Linked DNA regions of Lonchura striata. The protein of the gene in region 1 interacts with the protein of each later gene in a pairwise test. Links are inferred from orthologs where the notes say so. Each region holds a gene or a part of one and is shown in the gene's direction. Other genes may lie near its edges.

Region 1 (16,345 bases):
TGTCACTGCACCGTGTCACAGCCACTCCCCAGTCCCACCCGCAGCACTGGGGCTCTCTGAGGAGTTTGTTTGTGCAATCAAACCCCTGTGCAGCCCAGCCGAGCTCTCCTGCCCGGCTCTGTCACCAGGGTCGTGTCCCACCCTCCCTGCTCCTCACCGACATCACATTCCTGCCAGGCACCCAGCAGGGCCATGGGGGCTCCATCACTTGGGAATCTGCTCCTTGCTGGGTGTCCTGGAGTCTGGCTGGAGTTGTTTCATGGATTGGAGAGAAAAGCATTCATTATTTTCCTGTAAATGTTTATGTGCCCTGGCCTGAACTTCAGCACCCAAACATGGGAAGAATGTTCTCCTCTCTGCCATCCCTTAGGTGGGACTGAAGGGAGGTCCCAGCTTCCATCTCTCATGTCATGGGATGTTGGGAATGGCCAAATCCCAGAGAAGTTGTGGCTGTCTTATCTCTGGAAGTGTCCAAGGTCAAGTTGGATGGGGCTTGGAGCAACCTGGGATAGCGGGAAGTGTCTCTGCCATGGCAGGGGTGGGACAGGATGGCTTTAAAGTGCTTTCCAACCCAAACTGTTCCATGATTCCTGCTGGGCCAAAAGGCTCCGTGGTCTCCACACCCATGGCAATGTCTGATCCCAGCAGGATCCACAGCCTGGCTCTGGCAGCACCAGTCTTGCTGTCTGCTTCCACTAAAGCCCAGCCAAACATTCAGGACTGAACTTGCAAGTCCTTGAGATGGGATAAAGAAACCCAGCAAAGCCTCTCAGGCGGGTTCTGCTCCTGGCCCGCACCCAAGGTCCCTTTGGGAGGCACTGGAGGGAATCGGGGCTGCAATAATCCATGTGCCTCCCTAAGGAACAACAAACATAGCCAGAGCCAACAGAAGCTCTGTGCAAAAAGGGATTTAGGACTCGGCCTGAAAGGCAGAGAAGGTGGGGATTTTTCCCTACTTTGCTCCCCTGGGTGAATGTCCTTCGGCAGTGGGAGAAAATCCCTTCTCCTGATGGTCACCAAAAGGGACCTTAAACCCCTCTCTCACTGCCACAGCTCCCTGCTGGAGAGGGGCTTGGGACAAGGGATGGAGGGACAGGACACAGGGAATGGCTTCCCACTGCCAGAGGGCAGGGCTGGATGGGAGATTGGGATGGAATTCTCCCTGTGAGGGTGGGGAGACCCTGGGATGTGTTTCCCAGAGCAGCTGTGGCTGCCCCATCCCTGGCAGTGGCCAAGGCCAGGCTGGACAGGGCTTGGAGCAGCCTGGGATAGTGGGACGTGTTCCTGCCCATGGCAGAGGGTTGGAATTCAATGGTTTTTAATACCCTTTCCAACCCAAACCAGTCTGGAATCAGGCAACAGGAGCCAAATCCTGGAAAAACCCAGCAGAGACTCCCTCCCACAGTGAGGGTCCTGTTTGGCCCTGTCCCTGCTGAGGGACCCCCACTCACAGCCCACAGCCCCTCCTGTCTGGGGATCCTACCACGATCAGGACTTCCAGGGTGCAAAGATCCCTGGAGCCCAACTGCTGCTGCTGCTCCAATTCCCGGATGGAAGCCAGGCCAAGGGTTTCTGCCCCTGCTGGTCCCAAGACAGGTGAGTCCATTCCTTCATTCCATCTGCTTCCCAAGCCCACGGCTGCCATTCCCCACACTCTGCTGGGGAGCAGGGTGGCACCAAATGCTCAGGCACATCCTTCTTCCAAGCTGCCAACAGAGAACCTCAACCAAGAACAGCATTTGTCACAATACAAAAATTTAACTTTTTTCTTTTAAAGGCTGCTTTTGAAGAACTCTCCAAGACAGGATTTCAGTTTTGCCCATTCCAGTTTTACCTATTCCAGTTTTACACATTTCAGTTTTTCCCCTTCTTTGTGAGACAGAAATCTTGCATTTCAAGGAACAACAGAACCAAAACCATTCAAGTTTGTACAAAATTTTCTCCTAAGCCTTATTCCAGTGGTGGATTCTCCAGTGTCCAGTGAAAAGGACGTTTGCTGCCATGGGAAGCAGCAGTTCAGGTTGTCCCATAGGCTATTTTAGAGGAGTGGGAGTCGCCTGCAGGTGCTCCCTGCTCCCAGAAAAGAGCAAAAAATGGGATTTCCAGCAGGGTCTGGGTAGCGCATGGGACTCCTGTGACAGGTCGGATCCAAGCAGGAAAATGTGCTTTGTTTATGCAATAAGTGTTTTTGTGGCTCCGAGGTATTTCAGATGGAATGGAGATACCTCAGGATGTTTATACTTTCCTGGAAGCCAGGGGAGCAGAGATATCAGGGCCATCTAAAGCACTGGAGGAGCTCCTGGTTGTGCAAGAACCGTTCCCTGCTTGCAAAACGTTCTTCAAAATACGGCACCTTGGAAACGTGGCACCGGGACCTTTCCTGCTGCACCAGCATGGGGCTCAAACATGGGATTCCAAACACAGGGCTCCAAACACAGGGCTCCAAACATGGACACCAACAAGAGGCTCAAACACAGGGTTCCAAACACAGACACCAACACGGGGCTCAAACGTGGGATTCCAAACACAGGGCTCCAAACACAGGGCTCCAATCATGGACACCAACAAGAGGCTCAAACACAGGGTTCCAAACACAGGGCTCCAAACATGGGGTTCCAAACACAGACACCAACACGGGGCTCAAACATGGGATTCCAAACACAGGGTTCCAAACACAGGGCTCCAAACATGGGGTTCACACATGGACACCAACACGGGGCTCAAACATGGGATTCCAAACACAGGGTTCCAAACACAGGGCTCCAAACATGGGGTTCACACATGGACACCAACACGGGGCTCAAACGTGGGATTCCAAACACAGGGCTCCAAACAAGGACACCAACACGGGGCTCAAACACGGGGCTCAAACATGGGATTCCAAACACAGGGCTCCAAACATGGACACCAACAAGAGGCTCAAACACGGGATTCCAAACACAGAGCTCCAAACATGGGGCTCAAACATGGGGTTCTAAACACAGGGCTTAAACACGGACATCAACACAGGACTCAAACATGGACACCAACACCAGATTCTAAACACAGAAAACCCACAAAGGGCTCCAAACACAGGGCTCCAAACATGGGGTTCACACATGGACACCAACACGGGGCTCAAACGTGGGGTTCCAAACACAGGGCTCCAAACATGGACACCAACACGGGGCTCAAACACGGGGTTCCAAACATGGGATTCCAAACACAGGACTCCAAACATGGGGTTCCAAACACAGACACCAACACGGGGCTCAAACACGGGGTCCCAAACACAGGGCTCCAAACACAGGGCTCCAAACACAGGGCTCCAAACATGGGGTTCACACATGGACACCAACACGGGGTCCCAAACACAGGGCTCCAAACATGGGGCTCAAATATGGACACCAACACGGGGCTCAAACATGGGATTCCAAACACAGGGCTCCAAACATGGGGCTCAAACATGGGGTTCCAAACACAGGGCTTAAACACAGACATCAACACAGAACCCAAACATGGACACCAACACCAGATTCTAAACACAGAAAACCCACAAAGGGCTCCAAACACAGGGCTCCAAACATGGGGTTCCAAACAGAGACACCAACATGGGGCTCAAACACGGGGTTCCAAACACAGGGCTCCAAACATGGGGTTCCAAACAGAGACACCAACATGGGGCTCAAACATGGGGTTCCAAACACAGGGTTCCAAACATGGGGCTCAAACATGGACACCAACATGGGACTCAAACACGGGGTTCCAAACACAGGGTTCCAAACACAGGGCTCCAAACATGGGCCTCAAACATGGACACCAACATGGGACTCAAACACGGGGTCCCAAACACAGGGTTCCAAACACAGGGCTCCAAACATGGGGCTCAAACATGGACACCAACATGGGACTCAAACACGGGGTTCCAAACACAGGGCTCCAAACAAGGACACCAACACGGGGCTCAAAGACGGGGTTCCAAACACAGGGCTCCAAACTTGGAGCTCAAACATGGACACCAACATGGGGATCCAAACACCAACACAGGGCATCAACAAGGGGTTCCAAACATGGGGCTCAAACACAGGGCTCAAACATGGACACCAACATGGGGATCCAAACACCAACACAGGGCATCAACAAGGGGTTCCAAACATGGGGCTCAAACACAGGGCTCAAACACAGGGTTCAGTACACAGGGCTCCAAACACAGGGCTTAAACACAGGATTCCAAACACGGACACCAACACGGGGCTCAAACACAGACACCAACACCAGATTCCAAACACAGGCAACCCACAAAGGGCTCAAACACGGGGTTCCAAACACAGACACCAGCACAGGATTCAAACATGGACATCACCAGATTCCAAACACAAGGAACCCACAAAGGGCTCCAAACATGGGGTTCCAAACACAGGCCATCAACATCGGGCTCCAAACAGTGGGTTCTAAACACAGACACCAACATGGGGCTCAAATACAGGGAACCAACGCAGGGCTCCAAACACGGGGTTCCAAACATGAGCCACCAACATGGGGCTCCAAACACTGGGCACCAGCATGGGGCACCAGCCGGAGGCACCAGCATGGGGTTCCAAACACGGCGATGCAGCATGGTACGCCAACACAGAGTTCCAGTCATGGGCTTCCAAACACAGCGAACCCACATGGGGTTCCAACACAGGGTTCCAACATGAGACACCAAAATGAGGCTCCAAACATGAGGCACCAACATGGGGTTCAAACAGAGGGTACCAACAGACCATTACAAAGACAGAGTTCCAAATATGGGCACCCACACAGGGCTCCAAACACTGGACACCAGCACGGGGTTCCAAACACAGGGTTCCAACATGAAGCACCAACACAAGCACCACCATGAGGCACCAGCTCAGGGATCCACACAGGGCACCATCAAGGGGTTCCAAACATGATGTTCCAGCATGGAGTTCCAATGTGGAACATGAACACAAGGAATCCATGGGCTGGAACACGGGCACTAACATGGGGTTCCAAACATGGGCACCAACACAGGGCACAAATACAGGGTTCCAAACATGGGGTTCCAAACATGGCACCAACATGGGGCACCAACATGGGACACAAATGCAGGGTTCCAAACATGGGGTTCCAACACAGGACATGAAGATGAGGGACCAACACAGGGTTTAAACATGAGGCACCAGCACAGGGCATCCACATGGTGTTGCAAACATGCGGCTCCGAACATAAGACATCAACGTGGGGCTCCAACACAGGGCACCAGCATGAGGCACCCACATGGGTTCCAACCTTCTGCAGATGCCAACCTGCTCCTCCAAGATCATTAAATTTGCACTTGGTCCCAGGGAGGGCTGATAACACCGTCACACTCCAGGGGCTGGGGCTAACAGGTAAAATAATGCACTTTCCCAAACTCGTTGGACTCCCTCCAGGGCTGGAATGCTCCTGGCTGCTCCCAAAGCAGCAGCACACCTGGGGTGAGGTGGAAAGCCACATTTCCATCATCTCCAGTAGCTCCAGGACCCCCTCCTAGACAGAACAGATTCAACAGCCCATTCCCAACCCTCCAGCTTGTGGCATCTCCCATTTTTCTGGGGTAGTGCCCAACTGTGGCACAGCCAGGAAACCTTGGCTCTGCCACTGGCTCAGTGTCTGGAGTCAGCAGGATCTGCTTTTGTGCAGTGGATGGATTCCTCTGTAAAACCAGTGGAATTACAGTGCTGGGGGTCTCTGGGGAAAGCTGGGATGGGCTGTTCTTGCTGGAAAACACCATCTCCCAGCAAATGCCATTGACACCATGACAGCCAGTCTCGAAATGCAGCTCTGACCCTTTCCCCACAGTCCAGCACCACAGGAACCCTCCCCCATGGCACAGACAGCTCCAAGCTCAAAACAAACATCTCCAGTTTCAGCACCAGCATCTCCAAGCTCAGTACAAACAAGCTGCCATGAGTTTTGCATTTCCAGACAAAAGTCAGGACCATGGGGTTGGACTTCTAAGTTGCTCAGAACTAATCCTGCTGACTTCTTCTTTTTAATTAGTCCTGAGCACTGAGATATCCCCACGCTCCTCACGAGTAACCACTAATCAGGCAGGGTATGAGCTCCAGTAATTACCCAGATTTGATCTCCATCCTCCCTGCAGTAATTGCAGCCCTGAGTAACTCCTGCCCTGAGAAGGGCTGAGCCCTGTGCCAGGCATGTGGAGCACGAGCCTGGCCAGGACCGTGATCGTGGTGCTCAGCAGCACCCAAATCCCTTTAGCCTCCAAGCCTGTTTTACGAGACTGACTCCACTGCTGGAAAAGCTCTGTCTGGAGAGATGCTGGGGCGGGACACAGTCCAAGGGGAGGATTTTCAGAGGAAAAGGTTTTATTAGACCACAGTCCCACCTTGTTCAGACTCAGCCATGGGCTGGACTTGTTTTTCCCACAGTCCCTCACTTGTTAAGAGCCATGTTCCCTAAAACCATTGTTTAGAGAAAAAAAGAGGGAGAGGGAGAGGGAGAGGGAGAGGGAGAGGGAGAGGGAGAGGGGAAGGAGGAAGGGAGAAAAGAAGGGGAAAGGGAAAAAAAGAGAGGAGGAGAAAGAAAATGAGAAGGGGAAAGTGGAGGAGGAAGGAAGGGAGACAAGAAGGGAGAAGGAGGAAGACGAGAACAACGGTTCCATTGGAAGGGACATATGTCCATCCTCTGCTCCACCTGGGAGCTCCTGGGATACCCCATCATTCCATGATATAATCCCACCAATGTGGAACATTTGCCATTAGCCCCATGGCACTTGCACAACTCCTCTGGAAGGGAAAAATACTCAGTTTATTGTAGAGCAAGAGCCTTTGTTAGAGCCCAAACGTGGACACTTGGTCCTGGGGCTCTGTATCCCTCTGGGATAAAACGGTCCTTCCAGCTACAGCTGGAGGAGTGATCACACCTCAGAGCTGGCCCTGGAGAGGAAAAACCAGCTCCTCAATTTCCAGTAAAGCCACCAACCCCAATGACAAGGCGAGGAAAAGGTTTTGCAGATATCCTTCAGGAATGGGAAATGGAGAAAAGGGAAAAGAAACTTCTTGGGCAAGGAGCAGATGGGAAGAATCAAACCCCAGAAAAGAAATTCTCACTCTGGGATTGACACCGAGAACTAAAAGGATGTTTATGAAGAGCAGAGTTGGCCAAAATGGCCATAATTGGGGCACAGTTGGTGCTCCAGTCCTGGGGTCACATTTTCACATGGGAATTTCTGACAGTCTGCTTTGGGATTGATTCCCAATTTTCTGGGTAGGAAATCTGTGCCCAGGCTGTAAAATTCTGGTGCTATGAGCAGCTGAGCTGTAGTGAACCCCTTTTGTGCCTCCCTTGCACTCACTTTTCATGGAATCATGGAACATCCTTGGTTGGAAGGCACCCTCAAGGATCATTGAATCCAACTCCTGTCCCCGCACAGGACACCCCCAGGAATCCCTCCACGTTCCTGGATTTTTCTGGTTGTTAAATCACAGCCCACTGACTGATTTTCAGCACAACCTGAGCTCAGCTCCAGCTCTGCAGATCCCCCATTGCTTCCTGCCCTTTGCATGTTCCCAGCTGCAAGAGCAGCTCTGGGGATCGATCCCAGGTAAGGAAGCCCAGGAGAAAAGGAGCAGTCCTTGCCAGCACTGCTGGAGGCTGATCTGCGACCTCCCCAGGGCGGCGAGCGCCGCATTCCCCGGCTCTCATAGACGGGGCAGGATCTGATGTGCCCTCAGCTGGAACACAGAAGGAAAAAAGCATCATATTTCCCAGGACCATGATCCCATCCCCTTCAGCAGCTGATCCTGTGGCCCTCCCGCCTCCAGGTATATAAATGTTGTCCCGGGTGACCCTCAGGGACACAGCAGGAGGTGGGCACTGAGGACGCTGTGGGCAGGATCGTTCCCAGGAGCCTCCATGATGTGGGAACTGCGCTCCATCGCCTTCACCAGGGCCGTCCTTGCGGAATTCCTGGCCACTTTGGTCTTCGTCCTCTTCGGCCTCGGCTCTGCCCTGAACTGGCCCTCGGCGCCGGCCCCGAGCACCCTGCAGATCGCGCTGGCCTTCGGCTTGGCCATCGGGACGCTGGTGCAGGCCCTGGGCCACGTCAGCGGCGCCCACATCAACCCCGCCGTGACCCTGGGCTGCCTGCTGGGCTCGCAGCTCTCCCTGCTCCGCGCCCTCTTCTACGTGGCGGCGCAGCTGCTGGGCGGCGTGGTGGGCGCTGCCATCCTGCACGAGGTCACGCCGCCCGACGCCCGCGAGGGGCTGGCCCTCAACAAGGTCAGCCTGCGGCGCCGGGTGGGCTTGGCAGGCGGGGGGACACGGGCAGGGTCTTTGGGAACCCGAGGGGTGGGAGGAAGGGGCTTGTGGCCAGCCCCAGAAACCCCCTCAGCTGCCCCGAAACCTCCAGCTGGGGATCCCGGAATTCCCTAAAATTCCCACTGGGAATTTTCCTCAGACAACCGGGAGAGGCCCAAAATCGGGGGTATTCTGTGGGAATTTCATTCCAAATCCACCCAAAAAATCCCTAAAAACCCCCTCAGCTCCCCAAAATCTCCTGCCAGGGATCCCAGAATTCCCAAAATTCCTGAAAAATTCCCAGAATTCCAGGTGAGGAAGCCTCTGAATGCCACAGCTCAGTACCTGCTGGACCCTGCTGCTCCAACAGTGCTGCCAGGAGCAGGGATGAAGGCAGGACTCATCTTCCTCCTCTAGTTTTAGGGCTAAAATTTCCTGAGGTCCATCAGCTATTTCCCACTGAGCCACTTCTTCCACCTGGGAAATTTTTGCTCTTTTCATATTGGTGCCAAAAACATCTCCTGTGTTTGGGGCTAAAGCCAGAGGAAGGATCCATCTGGTCACAGACACACCCCTTGGAGTCACAACCATCTCATTTCTCATTTTTCCCCAGGACTGTACTCAGGGGACTTGGATTCTGGGGCTCCCAGGGGTTTAAGGAAGGAGACATCCAAAACACCACCTCTGCATTCCTCTGTCCCAGGCTCGTGCAATTTCCCCTCTGGTGGGGGTACATGCAGCCTTTCCCTGGCTCTGTTTTGGCCAAGCCACAGTTCCCAGGTTGCTGAAGTGGTGGGCAGAGGAGGGATTTGGGTCTACATCCCAGATTTTCATTAGATTCAGCTTGTTGCCTCCCACCGTGGAGGAATGATCGCACCAAATCCAGCTGGTTCATCCCAAAACCCAATACATGGATTCCCCAGAGCTTCACAAGGACCTCAGGCTGGTTTCAGACAAGGAAAAAAATAAAGCCAGGGAAGCTTAGGAAGCCATGGGGGATTCTCCAATGGTATCCTGGCCTCCAACACCCCCTTCCCCACAGGAGGGGGAAAAGGAATTGAAACCCAGGGATTCACTGTCCCACCCCAGCGGGGCACAGGCACCTGCCAGGATCAGCATCACCCAACCCCAAGGGAGCTGGGTTGGGAAGCAGCACATGGAAATCACCTTTCCCACAGCAGGGAGGCACTGCCAGGACTCAGCTGCGCTGCCAGAGTGATTAAGAGGGTTAAAAAGAGGGATTTGTGGTTTACTCTGAATGAAGCGATTTAGACTGGTAATGACTGAGGGTAATAAAAGCGGGAGGTTTAAGGGAGACTCAGACTGCTCAGCTTTGTTGGTTTACAGCTTAAACCACCCAAAAGTGGGAACCGGGGATTTTGAGCAGGCTTTTATCCCCTGTGAGCTGTTCATCGTGTGGCTGCCTGCACAGATTACCCCTGTAAAAAGGGAGGGGAATACTGGGCAGGAGAATGAGGAAGATCTGACTCTGGAGCTGGGGCAGGACCTTCCTGGGACCGCCAAGCAATGGGATTAGATTTGGGGGACACGGGGAAAGAAGGGACTGAGTTGGAGGAGAGGGGGTGCCACTAGGATCAGCCCCAGATCAGACCTGACAAATTCTCTGAGTCAAAAAAGTGTGCAAAGGGAATTTTTTTTTTTTTCTCATGCAAAAATATTTATTTTCAATGTCTTCAAAATGCAACTTGTAAACTTTTCCAAAAGGCATTTCGAGTAGGAGGAAAAGAAAAAAAAAAAGAAAAATACAAAAAAATTACCAATAAAATATCCTGAGAGGTCAATCAAGCATTTCCCATTGAGCCACTTCTACCTGGGAAGTATTTTCTTATTGGTGCCAAAAATCTCCCCTGTCTCCTTTGGCTCCCCCTGATTTTGGATTCCTCCTCCATATTTCCCATCCACTCACAGAACTCAGCCTTGGAACATGTTTTTCCTCCCATTCCAGCTGCACAATGAGACCACGACGGGGCAGGCGGTGACGGTGGAGCTGTTCCTCACCTTCCAGCTGGTCCTGTGCATCTTTGCTTCCACAGACGAGCGGCGTGAGGACAACCTGGGCTCCCCTGCCCTCTCCATTGGCCTCTCTGTGGCTGTGGGGCACCTCCTCGGGGTGAGTGGATAGGCCAAAACTTGGCATTTTTGGGGTTCTTTTTTGGTTTATGCCCCAAGTTGGTTTGGCTGCATCTCCAGGCTTGGCAGGGAATATGAAACCCGTGGTTTTCCAGTAGAGAGAGGGAAAAATCCCACCAAAGCCATGGGGGAGCTATGGCCTGAGCTCAGCCTTTATTTGGCATGAAAAACTTGATTTTCTGGACCCTGCCTCTCCTTGAGTCCCATGGGGAGTTCCAGGGATCTGTGGGATCTCTCCTGGAGCGAACGAGTTGGCCGCTGGGGCTCTCAAGTGCAGGATGAGCCTGGGAAGTGTTTGGGATGGATGCTCGGGGGAATCCCACCTGCGTGACGGCCCAAAGCAGCCCCACTCCCAGTGCACGCGGGAAAGCGCTGCTGGTCTCACCACACCTTCCATCCTCAGCGCTCCACGAGCCCCTGCATCCATGGGACCCTTCCTCTCCTGTCCTCAGAGGCACGAGAGGGAATTTTCTGCAGGACTGGGAGCTCATCCCCACAGCTCCTGGGGCTGCAGCACAGCAACACCTCACAGTGCTGACTCAGGTGGTGGCAGCTCCTGGGATCCCTTTTCCCGGAACAGGAATGCTGAAGGGTGAAGCAGCAGCTCAGCTGTCACCCTAATGACACCCCAAATTTTTTACAAATGAGGCAAAAGGGCTTAAGCTGACAGCAGCCATGGTGTTCCCGGCAGATCCGCTACACCGGCTGCTCCATGAATCCCGCCAGGTCCTTCGCCCCTGCGGTCGTCGTTGGAGACTTCAGCGACCACTGGGTGAGAATTCGGCTCTGGGAGTTGTGTTGGATGAGTCCCCCAAACTGCCAATATTCCTTGAAACTCAGCAAGCCAGACAAATTCCAGGCATTTCCATGCCAGCTCCCAGCTGGAGGAGAGAAGGAGAGATTAGGAGAAAGAGGTGGGGCTGCTGGGTGTTTAATTGGCTTTTCCAAACTGGGAGCATTGCAACAGGATCAGGGTGTAAGGTCTGTTGACGTGACTTAGCACAGGGAACAAAAGCAATGGAGAGTGGAGCTGCTGCCAGTCCTGGGGAACTTTCCTGGTTCCTGGATCTAGGTACGCCTTTGGGAACAACCCCTGGCTCCCCAGGGAATGGTCATGGCTCTGAGCCTGCCGGAGCTCCAGGAGCATTTTGGCAGTGCTCTCAGGCACAGGGTGGGGTTGGTGGTGGCTTTCCTGAGCAGGGCCAGAAGCTGGATTTTGAGGATCCTTGTGGGTCCTTTCCAGCTCAGGAGATTCCATGATTTCATTGGTTTCATCTATAAAGAGCCTGGCTGGAGGCAGAAGGTGGTTCCTGATGTGTTCCAAGGTGTCTGGCCCAGGCAGTGCCTCCACCTCCTCCTCTTCCTGCTCCTCCTCCAACAGCAACCCATGAGTGGGTAGGAAAATGCTCCTCCAGATGATGCCACATCACTCAGCACGTTCACAATGGGCCTGTCGTTAATGCAGTCTGAGCAGAGGGGGAATGGTAGAAGAGGACGGTTTGGAATATCCCGGCAGTGGTGGGGAGCTCAGATCCCCAGCGATGGCCAAAGCAGAGCTGAGTTCGTGTTTTGTTCCCAGGAAGGAACCCAAGCCCCTGGAATGCCCCTCGGAGATCCCAGTTCTTCCAAAGTCAGGCTGGGTTTTGCTCACCCCACTTTTCTCTCCTCTCCAGGTGTTCTGGGTAGGTCCCCTGATTGGGGCTGCAGCAGCTTCCATCCTCTACAACTACGTCCTGTTCCCGCAGGCCAAAACCTTCTCGGAGCGCTTGGCCATCCTCAAGGGCTGCGAGCCCGAGCAGGACTGGGCCGAGCGCGAGGCCCGGCGGCGCCAGTCCGTGGAGCTGCACTCTCCCCAGACCCTGCCCAGGGGGATGTCTGAGAAGGTGTAGCCAAACCTCTCCCTGGGCCGAGAGAGGAGCTGGAAACCTCTGGCATGGCTCCAGTGCTCGTCCAGAGGAGCATCTCACCCCTCTCCTCTGTCCCTTCGTTTCTCCTGGGGCACTGAAGTTGACTCCTCTCCCGGGGAGATGCTGTGCTGTCCCACCCACCTCCTGTCCCCAGCTCTGCCCATGCCCGGGGGGTTTCTGCTCTGGGGGACAGCCAGTAAATCCCGACCCCGCAGGAACAAGGGAGCTCCCCAGGATGCCCTCTTCCACGTCCCCCTCGCAGGACACGGAGCTTGGCTGAGGCTGCTCCCTCCCAGAGAGCTCCGAGGAGCCTGAGGAGTGTTCATTACCCTGGGTGTGGAGGTTGCCACCCGATGCCTCATTGCTGCTGCGCTCTGCTCCCGTCTCGGGTCCCCGCTCGGCTCTTGGCTCACATGCAGGAGCAGGAGCAGGAGCACTGAGCCATGAGTGTCACACATGACAGGTTCTGCTGTGAAAGGGACCAAAGTGCCATTTCCCACCCGCCACGGGACACAGAGGTGCTCCCACAGGGGATTTCCCGGGAAGATGGGACTGGGAGCATGGCCATGAGTCCCTGCAGGCCCCACTGGGGTGCACGTGCAAATTGTCTCTCCTGTGAAACAGCAAACCCAGGTTACAGCCCAAACTTATACCCACCTTATTGTTGGGCCAGGGTTGTCCTGGTTGTCCTTCCTCTCTCTCCCCGGTTTTCCCTTCTTTCGTCTGGTCTTGTTCCCCTCAGATCCCCTTGACGCTCAGATCACCTGGAACACACAAAGGAAAGATTTCACACCCAGCGTGCTCCAGGTGTGAAGAATCAGAATCATGGAATAGGTTGGATGGAAGGGACCTCAGACCCCACCCAGTCCCACCCCTGCCGTGGGCAGGGACACCTCCCACTATCCCAGGCTGCTCCAAATCCCATCCGACTTGGCCTTAGGCACTTCCAGGGATCCAGGGGCAGCCACAGCTACTCTGGGAATTCCATTCCAGCACCTTCCCACCCTCACAGGGAGGAATTCCTTCTCATCTCCATCACTTGCTTCTCACATCCCTTTCTCGTGGCTGCATCACTCCAGACCCTCCAAACCCCTCCCACCCCTTCCCTCTGCCCTCTCAGGACCTGGTCATGGTCCTCAGCCTGGAAAAGGAATTTGGGCTGGCCTTTGGGTGAACTTTGCTCTTTCAGCCATTGATTTAACCCCATTTCACTTGCTCTGCCCCAGATTCTGCAATCCCAGAGTGAATCCCAGCAGGGTCTCCAGCATTGCCCCACCGATATCAGCCCCAGCAGGATTTCCTTGGAAAGGCTGTTATGGGAATATTCAATGAGATGGGGCCCAATTCCAAATCATAAGGGATGATTTATGGATCGTTCCCAGAATGGAAATTTCCATTCCCCTCTTCTGGCAGGACACCCCCCACCACGGGATGCTCTTCACTCTGCTCCACTGGCACCACCCCCTCCTCCCATCAGATCCATCCTTGCCTTCCTCCCCGTGCTCTTCCTCAGGTGCTGCAGTGGCTGTTGCTGGAGGGGTGAGGAGGGAGCCCAGCTTTGATCTGGCCCAGACCTGGTGTGGTGTGTTCACCCACAGCCAATCCCTGCAAACAGCCCCAGAGGCTTTGCCAAGGCACTTCCAGCCCTGGTTTGATCCTCCCGAAAACAGGGATTCTGCTTCCCTTTGCTCCTTGATGGTGAATTTGAATTTTGGCTCAGAAGAGGCTTCTCAAAAAAATCCCTCTGTTCTCAGCAATGGCAATAAAATCATGTTTTACATCAATACCAGTATCAAAATCGTATTTCTGTTAGCAAATGATCACTTTTAAAAGTCACGTGGGGCTTTTGATGCTTTTTAAAGGAAAATTAATCCATGTTTGTGTGCAGGAAAATCCCAGCAGACTTTTCCAGAAGTCACCCTGGGCATGTTCTGCTGTAGAAAAAGCCACAGCTGAATTAAGTTATTTATTTAAATTAATGTTAGTGTGTTCAATGTCTCTTCTCCAGATCGAAGCATTTCATTTATTATTTACCCTGACAATGTTTAAGTCTCACAGGACCTGAACCTGAGGTTTAATGTCTGATAATGGCTCTCCTCTTCCCCATTAAGTGCTTTAAATTCCCTTTTACTGCCTGAATTCAGAAATAGGGATCAAATACTGACATATTTATGGAAAACACTGACATTATATTATATTTATATATATTATTTATGGTAAATAATAGATATAAAGTCACTCCCAGACCCCAAACTCCTCAAGCAGGTAGCTGAAGCAGCCCCAGTCTTCCCAGGAGTACAAATTCACTTCCCTGTGGACCTGTGACACTTCCCAAACTTGCCCTGTCAGGAAACCACCCAGACATTCCAGACTGCTCCAGGGGAGATGGAATTGGAGGGCAGGATCAGGACCCTGGAGCTCCATGGACCAACCATAATCCTCCCTAAACTGGCAACACTTGGGATGTCAGAGCCAGGATTTGAAGCATTCCCGTGTCCTTCCACCCCCAAGATGACGAGGTTTTCCCCTTCTCCCACCTTGGGGTCGGGGGTGCCTCAGCTTTGGGCTGATCCTTCTGCAGAGCTGTAAAAATGCCAGAGCATTTTGCACACACCCACATCCCCTTCCTTGCCCTTGCTGCTTGGCTGCCATATTCCTGGAACCATGGAATTGTTTAGGCTGGAAAATGCTTTGGAGACCATTCAGCCCAAGCATTTCCCTGACCATGTCCCCAAGTGCCACAGCTCTGAAATCCCCCCAGGGATGGGACCCCACCCCTGCCCTGAGCAGCTGTCCCTGCTGTGGAAAACCCCTTCCACTGAGGAAATTTCCCCCAAAATCCAACTAACCTCCCCTAGCACAGCCTGAGGCCATTTCCCTTGTCCTGTTGTTCCCTGGAGCAGAGCCTGACACCCCCTGGCTGTCCCCTCCTGTCAGGAGTTGTGCAGAGCCACAAGGTCCCCCTGAGCCTGCTTTTCTCCAGGCTGAGCCCCTTCCCAGCTCCCTCAGGAGTTCTCCAGACCCTCTCCTGGTGCTCCAGCCCTTTTCCAGCTCCATTCCCATCCCTGGTCACTCCCCAGCCCCTCAGGGTCCCTCTTGGCAGGGGGATCCAAGGGCACCCCAGGATTTGAGGGCAGAGCCCAGCCCAGGGGCCATGCCCTGGTCCTGCTCCTCACAACTTCTGACACAATTTGTAGTTAACCCCATGGAATTCTGTCCTTGGAGTTCCAGCCCCAGGATGGACCATTGCCACACCCACCCGCTGATCCCTTTCCTGTTGTAGGAGCATCCAGATCCCTGCTCAAGGAATCTGGGAGAACCTGGGAGCACCAGCCTTGATCCCACTGCCTGAAGGGTTTCTGCATCATGTGGGGAAATGACTGGGAGAACATGGAAGTAAAACCATGGTCTGGAGAAGCCCAAACCCAGCTGGAAATCCCAGCACAGGACAAACCCCCTCAGCCTCTGGTCACGCTGTGGGACAGGGAGGACAGAGATCAACCCAGGGTCACCTCAGGGGTGGGCAGAGCTGAGTTCTCTGCTTGGGATTCCTTGCCCTTCCCAGGCCCAAAGGCTGCATGAGCCTCCAGCAGTCACTTCCCTGCAATGCCGTGACCTACCTGGGAGCAGGTACATCATTATTTTACATCATTATTTTTATGGATCTATTTGTAGATGGAAAAATATTTCCCAAGTCTGTTTTCCTTGAGAAGCCAGGAGGGCAAGAGGAAGAGGCAGGGCCAGGTGTTGGAAATTACCACAGAGCATCACAGAAGGCACTGGTGCTCCAGGGGGAAGGCAAATATCCTAAAATTCTTCTATTCCCGGGACTCTGCCAAAGCATCTGCTGTAAAGAATGGAGACTCTGCTTCAATTTTTATCCAAACTTCCCAGGAATCAAAACAATAAAAAGAAAAAGCCCACATTTCCAGACACCCCTCAGTGCAAGAACCTTCAGCTGCGGATCTGATGGCACAAGGGATTTTCCCAGCATAGAT
Region 2 (16,266 bases), on another chromosome or scaffold:
ATTTAAACTGGTCTTTTCCATGTGCGAGAAGTGCAAGACAAGGGGTCTGTTTGAGGATGGTTTAGGTCACACAGGGAAACAACTAAGGGCAGTTCTGGAAATCTCCACAAGGTCAGCCTACTGTCAGCCACAAAGAGAGCATAAAGCAGCACAGCTTCCCAAACTGTCTCAGGGAATACAAACTTGCTCCTAATAAGCTAAGACTTGAAGGTAGATTGCAAGATGAGCACAGCATAAAAAGAGACTGCTTTTGGTTACACAGCACAGGCCCAGGCAGGCCTTCCAAGCTGCTCAGGATTGTTGAATTGCTCACCAATATATGTCTGAAATTGAGAGTAAGGTAGTGTCCAGTTAAATGCCTCCATGCCTCTTGCCTGGAAGCCAACATAGTTCTGAAGACATCGTTACTGAAGAACAGTCCTTTTAGTGAGCACTTACGTTATTTATCAGGTAGACACCTCGACCTCTGGAAGAGGCCACAGGTTTCACTATCCACGGGCCTCTGTCCTTAGAATAGGTATCTGGTTAAAAGAAAACAGCACAAGTCTGCAACATTGTCCATTTTGCTCATTAGGAGGGGAACAAGAATCAAGAATGTTGCTTACAGTAAATGCTTTAGAGAACTCCACAAGGAGATCAAAGTCTGCTCTTTCAATGTGTTATTTCACACCTTCGGAATCACTGCAATTATTACAGCCCCTCCCTGAAGCCCCCCATGGTGCTCTGACAGATTCATTCTTCTGCCCTATGCCTCCTTTTGGTACTTCTCACTTCAGTACTCCCAGGCATTAGACAGTGATTGTGAAGCTGATCATCAAGAACACTGTGCACATAAAAACTCCATTTTAGTGTCTTAACCCCACATCAGCTTTTTGAAAACTTACACAGGCATGGAGTAAACAGCAGAGTAGAAATTACATAATGAAATCATGCGGACCTTTCCTACTGTCTTCCCAGCTTCCTCTAATTTTGTTACCTTAACCACTGACATGATCAAAAGGCTAGGGTATTAAAAATAATTCCCTTCCCCTCACATCCCATTATTTTGTTCTATGTCTGGGCATCATCAGCTATTCACTTACTGCAGAAGTCCTGGTACTCTGTCGGGAGGATAAAGGTCTGAGGTAAGATATGGAAAGTCTTGAACCCATGGGTCACCTGCATTCGGCAGACATTCTTGTACAGTCTGTCCTTTCGTGTCAGTTCGTATGACCTGAAGTGCCAAAACAAGAGACTGCATCTATTTCTTCCCTGACATTACAGCAACCCTTTGTCCCAGTTACTGAATATCTGTAGCCTTGTTAGATGTCTAAACCCTAACCTGTCAGATGTCTAAACCATAACTGACTCTTGAGTTTTACTGCCTCTACCCTATGGCTGTATTAATATCGTTTGTGGCACTTCTTCCAATTACCAAGACAGACTGAAGCACAGCAATCTGTTATAATGGTGGCTATCAACTGATTATAACAGTGGTATACAAACTTTAGCTCGGGACATAGGACTATCCCTCTAACTAAAAAATATCAGTCACAAATAATCTATCATCAAATAAAGAAAATAAAATTTTAAATCCAATATTTGGGCTACAGACAACATTTTCATTGATCTACTATTCCCTAAAAACTCCAAAGACCATTAAGAATGAAGACAGCAAGTGGCACTGGCCCAGTCTGTTGGGATTTTATAGTACCATATATGCTCTATTTTTCAGGGGTTATCTATGTTCAGATTTTTGGAAATCACCACAATGATGTTCAACAAACATGGTATCAAGGTCTTACCTAGGGAAATGGTTGACTTTCTGAACATCTGTAAGGGAACGCAGCATGCAGGGCTTCAAGTGTGATCCTGTCCACATGAGATTATAATCACTGCTATTAGGGTGAACCTAAAATGCAACATAAAAAACACCACATACAAAAACACTGAACTAATGAAAAGCAACACCACTTTGTCCCTAGATCTATAAGGCCAAAGCAACTCTAGTCTAAGAGTCTCCTCTACTATCTCTAATAGGATGGCAACTCCAGCCAAACTGCTACTCTAAGGTATTCCTATGATGGAAAATAACCATGTCAAATTTTTTAAAAAACGTTGTGAGACTTCTTTTCATAGCTGGTTTAAACACAGTTTGTAAATCAGTTTAAATCTCTTCAGGAGACTTGTCAATCAATTCCTTAAGTTGCTATTATTCTGAAAAAAATCAACCCTACACATCTCTCAAAATTGTCATTAGCTGCATACAGGACATTCTTTAGAGCAAGACAGGTGCTAGAAGAGAAGTGTCAAATACTACATCAATACTTCTGAAAGCTTGTAAAGGCTGAGAAATTAAATCCTTCAGATCTTCCCAAGGGTGTGATGTTTTAAAAGCAAAAAGAAAAGACACATGACCAAACTTAAGCATTCATTTTCCCTTATTTTTGAAGGCTTAAGACTAATGGGTTCTCCTTTGATGGAGCAAGATGACATATTTTCAGTCTGACTAGCAGAGTACATTAAAAGGCAAAACAAAAAATCTCAAGGGAGGCCACTTCCACATCAACTTCCTGGTTCTAACCCTGCAGAGTTAAAAAAACATCCACAGCAAAAAAATCCAAAACCATTTTAATCACCTCCCTGCCCAGCACAAAATCAGACAGAACTTTGTTGCATTCACCTCATGGAATCCATGGGCAGTCAGAATGCTCCGAACCAGCCGGCTGTCTGTCCGCACAATCTTATAGGACATGTGGAAGTGCTCTGTCAGGAGGCAAAGAGACACGGGATTAGAGTCTGCACCTGGAAGAATAAACCAAAGTCATGCTACCAAAGAAAAGGACTCAGACAGTACAGCTGCACTTAATTCACAGAGAGTAGCAGCATATAACAGGCAAAGGGAGATAGGAAATGCCAACATCAGCATCACTCAACTGACTTACATCAATCCTTAGCTGTAATATAGTAGTATCACAGAACCCAATCATATAAAAATAAAGCACAGGGCAACCTAAAAAATACCCACATTTTTTTTTTTTTACATTCCATTATACAGACTGCTTTATAACACTCCAAAAATTATTTCAGCTTTCTTCTCTATTCAATATTGGTATTTCTAACTAAAAGTCATCATGTCTAATGCATCTCATTGATATGGCTAGTTTATGTGATCACTTTTTAGATCCTGAAAACCCAAAATAAAAGTACTGAACTTTTGTTTACATCTCATTCACCTGTACCAATCTTCCAACAAATACAGTAAGAAAAAGTAAATAGCATAAGGAAATAAAAATTCACTATGGAAGTAGAAAGTCATAAAAACAAAGACAATAGGCAGCCCTGGAGGTATAAGATAAACCAAAAGCAAGTAAGAAGACTAGAAGTCAGTTGTAATAAAAAAGGACGTGGCAATCCAAAAAAGAGTTCAAAGACAGTAGCGAAAGAAATTGCAATGCTAGAATACAGAACTGCCTAGAAAAGGCAGTTTACAAATGTATTCAAACTGAGAATAAAAGGGTGAAAATTAAATAAAACTTCAGGAAATATGTTCTATCAACAAAAGTAAATCAAAAATCAAGTATCATAATCAGGAGCAAGACAAAGCTGGAGGAAATTCAACAAGTTGCTCTATTCAGCAAATTCCTTAAACCGTGTGAGAAAAAGCAGAAGAGACTCCACGCTGCAGTAAAAACACAAGTTACAATTACCATCAGCTTCTGGCAACATCCAAATACACTTGTAACTCACATGAAAAGAATAAGGAGTTTCCACATATAAACCACCTTCTCCACCCCTTACCCCAATGAGCCAGAAGTATTTCTGCTTGGATAGGATATTAGAAACAAAAGCTCCAATTACCTAAGAAAGGAAAAAGCAAGACAAGAAAGAAGTGTCAGCACCTTCACAAAAGGAAGCTGAATACATTTCAGCTTTTCTCCAACTCAGCACATCCAGAACAAGCCCCCAGCTGTACACACCCACAAGTACTAACTTTTCAAATCCGAAGTGACTGTTTATAACAATCCAGCCTCTTTAGAGGCTCTCCCTTACTTGACACTAGACAGGTTTGGTCTCCCAACTCAAGTGCTGCCAGGAACCATTTTGTTTATGGCCTTCTAGGGCTTGTGAGGCTGTAGACTTGGATTAGTCACTACAGCTTATTCTTGTTCAGCTGCGAGGCTGACTGTTTATTTCCCAGTGAAATGCTCTTAAAACTCACTGCAATGATTGATTTTAAGGTCTTAGCTAGGGCGAATTTGTGTTCTGGTTCTAAGTTGTAGCATGGCCTCCAAGTTCAATTTGCAAGCAGACAGCTACAACTCAAAACACATCAGGGCCCAGTGGAGGGACAGACACTATCACAAAGACATTATAAGCATTCACCAACAGATTAAGCACTTCTGAATGTCCCAGTGGTCAGAGACTAGAGAGGATTCTAATTTCCTACTATGTCCTCTTTCCACCACAAAGTGAAGGGACCATCAGTAAGAAACTTTTACCTCATGCCTTCAAGCCAAACGCTGGCACAGAGTAGCACTCACCTCCAATTAGACGGAGGTAGCTGTCCTTAGCCAGAATGGCTTCAGCATGAAATACTAAGACAGGGACCCGCCTGCAGCCACCACCTGTCCACTTGATACATGGATGACCCCTGAAATGACAAGACAGTGAGTATAAGCAACAGCTGAGCCTCATACATGCAGCAGTTAGTCACAACAATGACACAGCAATTCTCCATACTTACCCACCTAGCCTGTGGACAGGACATAAGCAAACATGCTGGCGAAAATAGTGGAAGATTAGTAAGGAGGACTGTAAACATGCCTAAATGACTTACAGCTTGGGTGTAGAAAAACACATGTGACATACTAACTGCTGTCTTTGTGTGTTTCACAAGTAGAACATCTGAAGTCAGATGGCACAGCGCTGCAACAGATTTCAAGGCACTCTATCAAACATGCTTGAGACTCCTGCCCTATGGTGGGAAAAGTCAAAGCACAGTGGTAAAATACATCTGCAAGAATCCCTAAAAAATGAGCAGCAGCTTCAGTGATTCTCTAGCAAGGACCAAGCTCCACAATGACTGCCTCTGCTTGCTGCTTTGGGGATCCCCCAGTGAGCAAGGTAACGAAAAGAAATTTACTCTTTGCATTCAAGATGCAGTTTTGTGGTGGTCCCTAAGCCCTACCTGTGCTGAATCAACACACACACATGCTAGGCATCTGTGCTGGTTCCAGACTGCACCCTGACTAGATGCCAGGCACCCACCAAAGCTGTTCCATCATTCCCTTCCACAGCTGGACAGGTGAGAAAAAATTTACCAAAAGACTCATGAGTTATGGGCAGAGAGGGATCACTCACCAATTACAGTCACAGGCAAAAGAGACTCAACTTGTGGAAATTAATTGAACTTACTACCAATGAAAATCAGAGCAGGATAATGAGAAGTACATCAAATCTTAAAAACACCTTCCCCCCACCCCTCCCTCCTTCCCAGGCTTAACTTTATTCCTGAATCTCTACCTCCTTCCCCTCAGCAGTGCAGGGAAATATGGAATGGGGGTTACAGCCAGTTCATCACATGCTCTTTCTGCCATTGCTTCCTCCTCAGGGAGAGCCCATACCCTGCTCCAGCATGGGGTCCCTCCCACAGCAGACAGTCCATCAGAAACCTCTCCAATGTGAATCCTGTCCACAGGCTACAGCTCTTCACAAACTGCTCCAGCATGCATCCCTTTCCCCAGGGTGCAGTAATTAAAGAAAAGGCTGCTCCAGCATGGGTCCCCCACAGGGTTACAAGTCCTGTCAGCAAATCTGCTCCAGAGTAGGATCCCCTCTCTCCATGGGTCTGGAGGTCCCTCCCAGGAGTCTGTTCTTGCACAGGCTTCCCGTGGGATCCCAATCTTCTTTTGAGCACACACTTGCTTCAGTGTGCAGCTCCTCCACGAGCTGTAGGTGGCTCTCTGCACCCCCACAGATATTCATGGGACTGCAGGGGCACAGCTACCTCACCATGGTCTTCACCACAGACTGCAGGGAATCCCATCTCTGGCACCTTGAGCACCTCCTTGCCCTCTGACCTCGATGGCTGCAGAGCTCTTCCTGTCACATATTCTCACTCCTCTCTTTTCTGAGCACTATTACCCCCATACAATAACTTTTTTTTCCTCTTCATAGATATGTTATCACAGTAGTGTTTCTACCATCATTCCTGGGCTCCATCTTGACCAGTGGTGGGTCCATATTGGAGCATTGTCTCTGTCAGACATGGAGGGACCTTCTAGCAACTTCTCACAGAACCCACCACCATAGCTCTCCTACTACTAAAACTGGCCACACAAATGCAATACAGCACCCTTGGTACTCAGCTATAAGGAGAATCTTCACATCACCCTCTTTTTGAGTTGGTCTTGCCAGCCCAATTTCTGTTTAATCCTGTTTAGTTCTGTATTTATTTTAATGGGTATAATTTAGGAGAGGCCTCATGAGCTTTCACAGCTACAGTTCTCTGAATTTATAGCCTGAAAATGAGATCTATAATTCATGATAAACCACAGTTGCTGGTATCCACATAACCAGACCTTGCAATGCAGATTCCAGCCTCCAATTTTAGAACTGCGGATCAGTGCAGTCAGCCTGGCTGACTGGAGTCAGAAGTACACAAAAAAGCAATAATGCAGAGTTTGAGGGACTAGAACAGACTTGGCTCAACACAATAGATAAAGCTGTGTATTCTTCCCTTTTAACTCCTGCCAGATACAGAGGAATGCATGACCAGAATTCAAGAACGATGCCCCCCAGTGCACCACTTAAGCTACAGGCTCTGAGATACAGTGATCAGTTCTGTACAAAACATGAGTTCACTGGAAAATATAATCTCCTCAGAGAAATTATAGACACACAAAAAAAAAATATTAAGACCTGTTATATCAAATTCTAGGATCACATAAAGAAAATCTGTCAACCTTCCTAAGCAAATAAAACTCAGGCTGTTTACTACCACTGCACAAGGAAATTAAAAACATGAAGAAGTTAACAGAAAACAGAGACTGAGGGGCTGGAAAGACACCTCTACACTAACAAGAAGAAATACAAAGACTGTCAGAGATATACAAAAGCATTTGTATATGAAAGATTATTGTCTGCCAAAGATTTGGAAAAGCTAGACAAAACACCTCAAACACTTAGAACAAAAGAACAGAGATAGATGGGCAACTTCCTGATGCATGGACAAGGGCTCTTAAGGGTAGCCTAGGTCCTCTTAACAAAGCTACTACCATTATCATCCAGACAAATTAACTTCACAGCACTTCTACCTGCTTCTGCTACCTCTACAAAGTATTTTTTTAAAAAACCTACAACGGGGGTGTAATTACCTATTCAGATTGGAAGGGACCCAAGAAGCTTCCAGAATTTACACTACAGGCCAGAGCCTTATGTAAGTGGAAAATGAGCTGAGGCAACAAGACAGGAGTTTATACTAAGCCTGTCCTGGGATTTGCAGCAAGGCTCAATCCTCCAGGTGACAGTCATTCATTCCTAGCATGACCCCCAGTCACCAGATGCAGACATACTCTTACAGTCACATTCCAGGTGAAGCTAGTTCTGGACCTTTCCATCCATGAGGATCCAGCAAACCTAAGCCAACCACTTGCTATGAAGCAACATTCCTCTAAATGTCTTAAGTCACTGTAGTCAGCAGCTGAGCACTCAGTCACAATGTGCATCCAAAAAAACCCTTAACAGGACACAGTGAAGTAGGTCCAGGTGAAACAAGTGATTCTGCTATGGGAAAGAATAAAAGAGCAATCCCTTCACAAGCATAGCTAAAAGAAGTTACTAAACGAAGATGGAATAAATATTAAAACTTGTTACTTGTAAGAAAAATGAAGTCTAGTAGTAATCAAAAGACTTTTATAAATCAAAAATTTTATAAAAACGGCATGAAACATCATATATCAATCTACTGTACAGCAGATTTCTAATCTCTGCAGCAGTAAAAACTAAAAAAAACCACAACCAAACAAAAAAAAAACCACAAACATCTGCCCCCAGAAAACCACACATGCCAAAAAAAAAAAAAAAAACAACCCAACAAAAAAGGAACATGTATCATCAAAACATTCCCATTTTAGGAACATGACAGAAAGAAATCCATGAAAATATGGACTTCAGAACAGCCAAGAAAAGCTGCACATCCATCCCGGATGAATGTGGTGGTCTTTTAGGCTGCAGATGTAGATAGCCTGCTCATAGGTTTAAGGCTGAAACAAATCATCTTTCACTTCATAGGCAGGAGGGTAAGGAATACATCTGTCTCTTCAAACTACTACAGATCCACCAGAAAGCACAAGGACATAGAAACAGTTCAGAGGCTTTTCCTACTTACTCCAGTGCATCTACAGCATCTTCTTCCTCCTCTGAGGATGAGCCAGTTTCCTCCAGATCTTTAGCCATCCCAACTGGCATTTCCTTTGGAAATTCTCATACAGCCCAGGCCTAGTTGCAAGAGCAGTTACCTGCAGTAAGGATTAAAAGCAGGAATGAAGAGCTGAGCAGGACAGCAAGAGGTATCAGGTAACTACCACTTCCTGCCGGTAGATATTTCTTACAATACTATCAACAAGTCTGTTAAACATCTGTGATCTGTCAAACATCACCTCGGAGCCACGAGAGTGCAGAAAGCAGCATCCCGTTCCAGCAGATCATTCCGCACCTGCCCGTGGGAGCCACTCGGGCACTCACCGCTAACGCGCGTCCCTGCCCCGCCCTGCCTCGGCCGCAGACCCACGCCAGGCCGGCCCAGCCCAACGGGAAACGCCCGCCAGGACCGCCCCGCCGCACGGGGCCAGCCGGACACCGTAACGCCTCCACCGGCGCAGGAGCGGCGCTCCGGCCCGGAGGGGCGGCTACGGCCCGGCCTGGCCCGGCCAGGCCAAGCACGGCGACCTCCGGCGGCCCCAGAAGAAGCAAGAGCGGAGGGGAGCGCCTAAGGCAGCGGGTCCCCGTGCTAGCCGTACCTGCCCGCGCTCGGCTGGCGGCGCCGGGCCGGGCGCGCACGGCAGCGCCGGCCCCTCCCGCCGCTTCCCCGTTACTACAACAACCGACGGGCGGCGCCCCGCCCCGCCGCGCAGCCGCCCCGCCGCCTCACTGCGCAGGCGCACTGGCTCCGCCCCCTGCCGGCGCGCTCACTCGCTCCCGCGAGGTGGGCGGGGACGAGGCGGGCATGATTCCCGCGCGACGAAGGATCCGATTGGCTGGGGGCGGTATTACGTAGCGTGGCGCGCGCATGGGGCGGCGCGCAGTGACCAATGGGAGCGCGGGGCGGTGGCGTGGGCGGGAGCGGCGCCGGGAGCGCGCAGGGACGCGGCCGGGCCCGGCGGGCGCGGCTCGGGTTCGAGCCGGCCGGCAGGATGAGCCGGTTCCTGAACGTGCTGCGCAGCTGGCTGGTGATGGTGTCGGTCATCGCCGCCGGGAATACCCTGCAGAGCTTCCGCGATCACGGCTTCCTCTCTGAGAAGCTGTACACCGCCAGCCCCGGCCTCGGTAAGGGCCGCGCCGGCCGCCCTGGCACCTGGAGGTGTCCTTGCAGCCATGGGCCTTGCACTGTCTTCGGAGTCCCCCTCTGGGGCCCGGCGACACTGGGGGTGGCAGGCAGGGCTCTGCGTGGTCTCCATGTGCTCCCTCCTTCTTTACACAGTGAATGGGCTCCAGGCTCGGACCTTCGGCGTCTGGACCCTGTTGTCATCAGTGATCCGCTGCCTCTGCGCAATCGACATCCGTAACAGGACGTATGTAAAGCAGCACCCGAGAAATCCATTGGTTTGCTTGCTAGACACAGCCTGAGCTTAGGGGGCGGCACAGAGGAGGTGGGGAATCAAAAGCTGTTCCTGAACTTTCTATAGCGTTGACAGCATTCCCTTAAAGAAGCTCAAATAGCAGTGTGGGATTTGTGTGGTAGCTGCTGCCCCCTTCTTCCTCTGTGGGGACAGCCTGCGCATTTGAATTCTGTTCTTAGCTCAGTCAGAAACTGGTGGATCCGAGAACCTCTTACTGTCACCAATTTCTGAGCTCCAGGTTGGAAAGCATTTTCTGAATAGCGTTGTTGCACTGTTAATTAAGCAATTGCTAATGTTGTGGTGTGACTGATGCTCAGTACTTCTTTTACTATGACAGCTCAGCTAAAGACTAGGACAGTTATAGGTGCCCCATTGCAGTGGTATTAACCAATTGCTTTCTTCCCTACACTCTTACCTGGGGCTGACAACAAGGCCTGAGGAGCAGCCTCATGCTGAGTGGGAGACACACCATTTCTCTGTGTGCTAGCAGAGGGGTTTCCAAGCAAGCTGACTTGAGGTCAGTGCTAGACAAAGCCTTTATTGGTGGTTGCTAAAATGCTTTTGTCAGTACTTTCCTCGGCCCTGCAGTAGAAGTCACTGTTCACCTGGCAGTGTGTGCTTGGATTGCCTAGGCTTATCTGAGATAGGGAGGCGCAGGGACTAAACTATATTGTTTCTAGGGGGTGATGGCAATGCCAGTTATCAAGAATCAGTTGTTTCTTTGAGGAATTTTATTTTGCATCTCTTGAACCTGCTCCCTTTTCAACAGCTGTGGCCCATAGAGGGTAGCAGAGCACCAGTGGGAAGACACTGGGTGATGCAGCCTGAATCAGAGAAGTCTTGTCACCCTAATTCTCTGCTCATCCAGTTCTTACCTTCTTTTTGTGTGTGCACATACTTCATTTCACTGGTGCCCTACTCGTGCTCTCCCCTCTTCACCTTCCTTCAGGCCAGATAATGCCTGTGACTTCCAGTGCGCCATTGAACATGCTGCCCCGTTCTCCTCTCAGCTGTTGCCCAGGGAGATTTTGCACCTCACGAGGCAAGGGACAAAGTCCCCTCTGTGCTGCCAGTGAGAGCAGACGGGGCAGCATGCAGGTTTGCCTTTTTTTCTACTCGGCCATATTCATGCCCATAGTATGATATGATAACCTTCTTTTTTCTGCTCTTCAACAGCCTCTATCACATCACACTCTTTACCTTCTTTTTGGCCCTTGCTCACTTCCTCTCTGAGGTCTTCATCTACCACACTGCCGCCTTGACAATTGGAGTTATGGCACCCCTCATGGTAGCAAGTAAGTAGAGCTCTGCATCCTCCCCCTGCATACTCTCCTTGGAACTATGATAGCCCAGAAAAACTCCTCATGCAACTATGGGCTGTGGGGATGATGGGAGGGGATGCCTCATCTCTTGCCCAGCATTTTCTACACAATTCATCCTGTATCTCCGTCACAGGTTTCTCTATTATGGGGATGTTGATTGGACTGCAATACCTGGAGGTAGAAGCGCTATCACAAAACAAGAAGAAAAACTGAAGTTGAGGGTTTTTTGTGGATCAGTGTCATCTTCTACCTTCACTGCCAGACTTCCATGAAAGCTCAGCTGAATTTCTCCAGGACACCAGTCCCGCTGGTGGGTCAGTGTCAGACTGTGTCAATCACTGTCATTACCAAGTTGTTTTTGTCTTGTCCAGGCAACATTTCAACTGACTGATGTCAAAGACCAAGTCCCAGTGGAGTTTGTGTCAAAGCTTATGGGAGACAGTTGGTGACTGACTCCCTGGGTAGCAGGCAAAAGTCTCTGGCATGCCCAGAGCTCTAAGGACTTTTGTCCCGGTGTACTTGTGGGGACAAGATGCAAGAACTATCCAGGATGTGCTGAACACTGGACCAGAGAGAATGGGTGCTACCCCTGGCATTGCCGTGTAACTTGCATGTGTGTGTTCCCCAGGGGCCATTTCTAATAAATGACCAAAAACTGCAGTGGGCTATGTTTGTCTTTCTGCTACACAGCAGTGGGTAGAAGATCAGAGCCAACAGCACCTTCCACTGTATGTTGCAGAATACATCATCTCTCTTTACAGCAAACCTACCTTTCCCTGACTCCTTGCCACAAAGTTCCAGGTCTGACTGCTCACATAACACACATGAAGAGGGTTGTTGACGCTCTCTGCAGCATGCTGGTGACAGCAAACTCAAACTATGAATCTGTGAGTGAGGACTGAGGACTGTATAGCAAGTTATAACTACAAAAAATGGAAAAAACAGGAACAGGTTCCTCAGACCTAGATCAAATTATGCCCAAAACAGTGGGGAGTACACAGAATGCAGAAAAAAACCCAGCAAGAATTCCTAGCTGGGAAGGCAATTGATGTGCAGAAGAAAGAGGAAGCAAATAGAGAGAAAGAACACAGTAGTAGCACTAGGCAGAAAGATGATTTTTCCGTTTTGTAGAACATTTCAGGCTATTAAATGAGCCACATGTAGACTGTTTTTTTAATCATTTAATATGAATATGCCAGGTTTCACTGTACACTTCAAATGTTTATATTTTACATTAGAATTTCTATGGAAATCATTCTAAAACCCCATCCTCAATCCCAGACTATCAAAGATAAGACTTTAATGATAGAATATGCTGAATTTGAAAAAAATTTATCAAGATCACAGTCCAACTCCTGGCCTTGCACAGGACCTGTAAGAATCACACCATGAGCCTGAGAGTATTGTGTAAGCATTTACTGAACTCAGGCTGTATCAAAAAATGTTAAAATTTCATTTAAAAATGTTTTGTCAAAAATAGTTTGTCAGAGATGAATATTTTTAACCATTCCACCTCAGTACAGCTTTTGTCCCCTGACTCAAGTAATATAAGGACACTTGATGTCTCCAGCAGGGGTGGGATGCTGGAAAGGATGGAGAAGTGATAAAAGGATCTACAGTTGTGTTTGGAAGATAAACAGCATACTGATGGGCAGTGTCTGTAAGACACAAATGCTGGTAAGTAGGCACCTTCTCCTGTTCTCTATTAGGAAGTGAGAAGCTTCCACACTGGAGCAAAGCTGGATTCCCATCATACCCCTCTCTGTGGCTGTGAAGAGCAATACACCCTTGGCTGCTTTTCTCAATGTAACACTTCACAAAAGTTTCTGTGTAAGGTTGAAACACGCAAAAGGCACTTTGTTGTTAAGGAGGAAGACACAGTCCTCATCCCAGGGAAATAGTGGTTTGACTCATTTCTGTTGCTAATGTAGTGATGAGCTAGATTTAGGTTTCAGAACCAGTCCTTGCCTCAAGCTAGAAGGAGGCATGTAGTATCTCTTAATTATTATATCTTAATCATGCTGAATTCCGAGTAGAAGTTTATCCAGATGAAGAGTGCTTCATCTGGGAAAGCCAAATAATAAAAGAAGAGCTGGCAGCAGCTGGTGCACTGCTTTGCACTTGCTGGTAATATACTGAGACCTCTACTACTACCTGTGCAACACAGAGCATCATGGGAACCAAGGAAGAGCAATCCCTTTTCCCTAGAGCCAGCTTTTCCAGGGATGCTTACAGAGTTAAGTGTGGTCCAGCTTCTGCCTTTCATGTCGCAGCCACATGCAAGGTGCCACCATCATGCTCAGGGTTAGCCTGGTACTGTGACTTTTCCTCTCAGCACATATGCTTTTTCCAAGCATACATGGTAGGGCTGGGGAAGCATAGCATTTTCCCAACTTCTTCTCCCAAACACCAGAACAGCGTGATGCAAGGACAAAACTGACAAAAGCAACCCCCCTCTTGTTTTGCTCTTTAACACTCTCCACAAGCAGTTCACAGGGTTTCTGTCCTGAGGCTGCTCCCCTCCCGTGGCATGCATGTGACAGGAGGATGGTGCAGGTATAGGAGGAGAGGAATGAGGGGGGCTGTATCTCCCAGCTTTGCCACCCCTTCATTTCACAGCCGTGATTCCTCAAGGACTATAGTATAGGCTTCTGGCAACACTTTCTGCAAGTCAGAGAAAAACAATATGGTTAGGATCCTGGCTGGCCAGACCCTGGCTTCAGAGACATCAGCTGGCCAGAGCCTGGGTAGTTCATAGCTCCCTGCTACTACAGAAATCCCCAAAGAAGAATCACCATCCTCAGAGAGTGCTGCTGGTTCCCTCTTCCTTCTCTACCAACTCTGACTGCCCAAGAAGGGGCACTGGGGCAGCAGGGCAGTGCAACATCCCACTGTTTAAGCTACTTGCTGTAGTCCTCAGACCATTACGAATTCACTGCGGGGCTGATACCACTGGAGGTATCAGACTCACAGCCAGCTCACCAACATTTGACTGTGACACAAGGTCAGCCTCAAAGCATGAAGTTGCAGGGCTAGTTCCCTGGGGGAGGGAAGGTGCTGGGAACTCCTTCATGCCATGAGGCAGCACGGTGTCTGTGCAAACACCAGAGAGAACTTGCTTTCTTTACATCCTCAGGAGGCTCAGAACAACCACTAGTTCCCCTGTGTTCTTACTCCAGCATGTTTGAGGCCTCTTCAACTCCCAGACACATTGCTTATCTTGCTCATCTTCCAAATCTTTTCATTCCCACTCCCACTGCCCACTGAAGTGCTGGCACCCTCTGTCCTGCTTCTTCCCTTTCCCCAGCTTGGATTTATGGCTGAGATAATTCCACTGAGTGGTGCCTTCTTCAAAGTTCACTACTTATATCTTAAAGAGACATAAGAAATAAGAGGTAAACATACCTAAGTTTTTTTCTCCACAAATCATATGGAAGAACTAGCCTGATTTCTTGGAACCTTAAGATGGAGGGAGCTTTTCCCCAGAGGAAAAGCAAGGAAAATGGAGATTGTTGCCCAATTACTACCATATCCTCAGCTTCATGGAACAGCCAAACTGTTCTAATTCCAGTTCAGCTTTCCTAGATGGAGTTTGACAAGCTCAGTTTCTGAGCCTTTCTGGAGTGTATTAGGATTAAACTTGAGACTTTTTCTTCCCCTTTTGGAAAGCATACTTCTCAAGTTCTAATTCTCCTTACAGGGAGACAGCCCAGCTGTCACCAATTCAGAAGACAGGACTCAGACTTGTAAAGGTGTATAGGTCCCCTGCAGCCTGGGCTCTGAGTTTACTCACTGTAAGGCAAGACTGACATCTGAGGCAGAAATCAGAGGTGCACAGGAAATAGGTTCACACCCCCAGTGCAGTTCAAGAGAAATCCAGGCAGCATGGAAGGAAGAGATATGAAACAGTCTCATTTTGAGTAGGCTCTTACACAATCTGTAGGTGAAAAGGTTTTGCAGAAGTCAGCTGCAATATCCCAAAGCAGAGGAGTGAGATAAGGAAAGCTTCAAAGACATGTCTGAAAGCAAAAGCCAGGAAGTGCAAAGAGGGAACTTGAACAAGCAGGAAGGGTAGGGGATGCCTGAAGTAGTGCCAGAGATAGGAATAAGGGGAAATATGCATTTAGACTACAGAAACTCCACCAGAATACACCATGGAAGCACTCAAGCAACTCAGAACAGGCTTCCCAAGCACATCTGGGGTCTCAGCACCACTCATCTGCTGTGGAGCTATGGGAGCAGAGATTTAGACTAGACAGTCTGCAGGGCTCCACTACCTTGGGAAAGGAAAGCTGCTCTCACAGCTGAGTCACAGTACTGGAAAAGGGCACGCAGATGGCCTGCCTATGGCTTTGGTACAGGAGAAGGCCGCTTACCACACAGTAAACAGAGAAATGAGTAGGGCACTTTGGAAAGCAAAGAATGAGTTCACATTATTTGTGCCTACTACACAAAATTCCAGCTTTTTTTTATTGGCAGTATTTCACTAGAGGCTAAGCATGGTGCAGCTTTCACTAGAATCCAGTAAGCTACTGAGGGTGGACACTTGTCCTAAACAAACTATGGAAGATCAGCAAAGATGCTTTTTCTTAATGCAAAGAAACAATACAAAAAGGTTTGCATGGATGCTGCAAATCACAAGCAGTACACAGCATATTCATGAGTATAATGTGTGTGGTGAATCAGCTGACACTACTATGAAATCTTAAGGCACAACACTTCAGATGCATTTACAACAAGGGCAGCACACAAAGAGCCTCATTATCACATAAAACAGGTGTTTGATCCAAGTGTCCTGAGATACAGAAAGCTAAGCCAGCTGGAGCTCTGGGAACTGAGGCAGACAAAAGTGAGGAGGATTGTTGGGACCACATTACAGCTTAATTAATAGAGGACAAGGTGTACACAATGCCGTTAGGCTAATTTAATCTACTAACTGCAACAGTTGTTTAATTATAACCATAGCAGATGAGGGCGCCAATAGAAGACAAACTGCTACACAGCCAATGGTACAATGCTTCAGTGGAAAGTGAGATCTGCACAACTCTACAGCTCTGGAAGCTCACAACTGACTCTGAGTCTTCTCCTTGCAACAGCCACAGCATTGTTTAGGCTGGAGAAAA

What was found.
Region 2: the proteins of AQP2 (region 1) and ERG28 interact in binary tests that used the Homo sapiens proteins (3 or more experiments, as listed by UniProt). The link is inferred for Lonchura striata from reciprocal best matches to the Homo sapiens genes AQP2 and ERG28.

Annotation. Positions count from the first base shown.
Region 1 is NC_134629.1:4,967,513-4,983,857, forward strand, and holds AQP2 (aquaporin-2), read left to right. Parts: upstream 1-7,905; coding exon 7,906-8,271; intron 8,272-10,255; coding exon 10,256-10,420; intron 10,421-11,131; coding exon 11,132-11,212; intron 11,213-12,113; coding exon 12,114-12,329; downstream 12,330-16,345. UniProt on the Homo sapiens protein: Forms a water-specific channel that provides the plasma membranes of renal collecting duct with high permeability to water, thereby permitting water to move in the direction of an osmotic gradient. Plays an essential role in renal water homeostasis.
Region 2 is NC_134608.1:22,974,369-22,990,634, forward strand, and holds ERG28 (ergosterol biosynthetic protein 28 homolog), read left to right. Parts: upstream 1-9,319; 5' UTR 9,320-9,395; coding exon 9,396-9,528; intron 9,529-9,682; coding exon 9,683-9,773; intron 9,774-10,997; coding exon 10,998-11,116; intron 11,117-11,276; coding exon 11,277-11,356; 3' UTR 11,357-11,803; downstream 11,804-16,266. Other genes in the region: tubulin polyglutamylase TTLL5, read right to left, coding at 439-521, 1,083-1,213, 1,785-1,891, 2,663-2,745, 4,524-4,633, 8,372-8,451; choline/ethanolamine transporter FLVCR2, read right to left, coding at 13,757-13,807.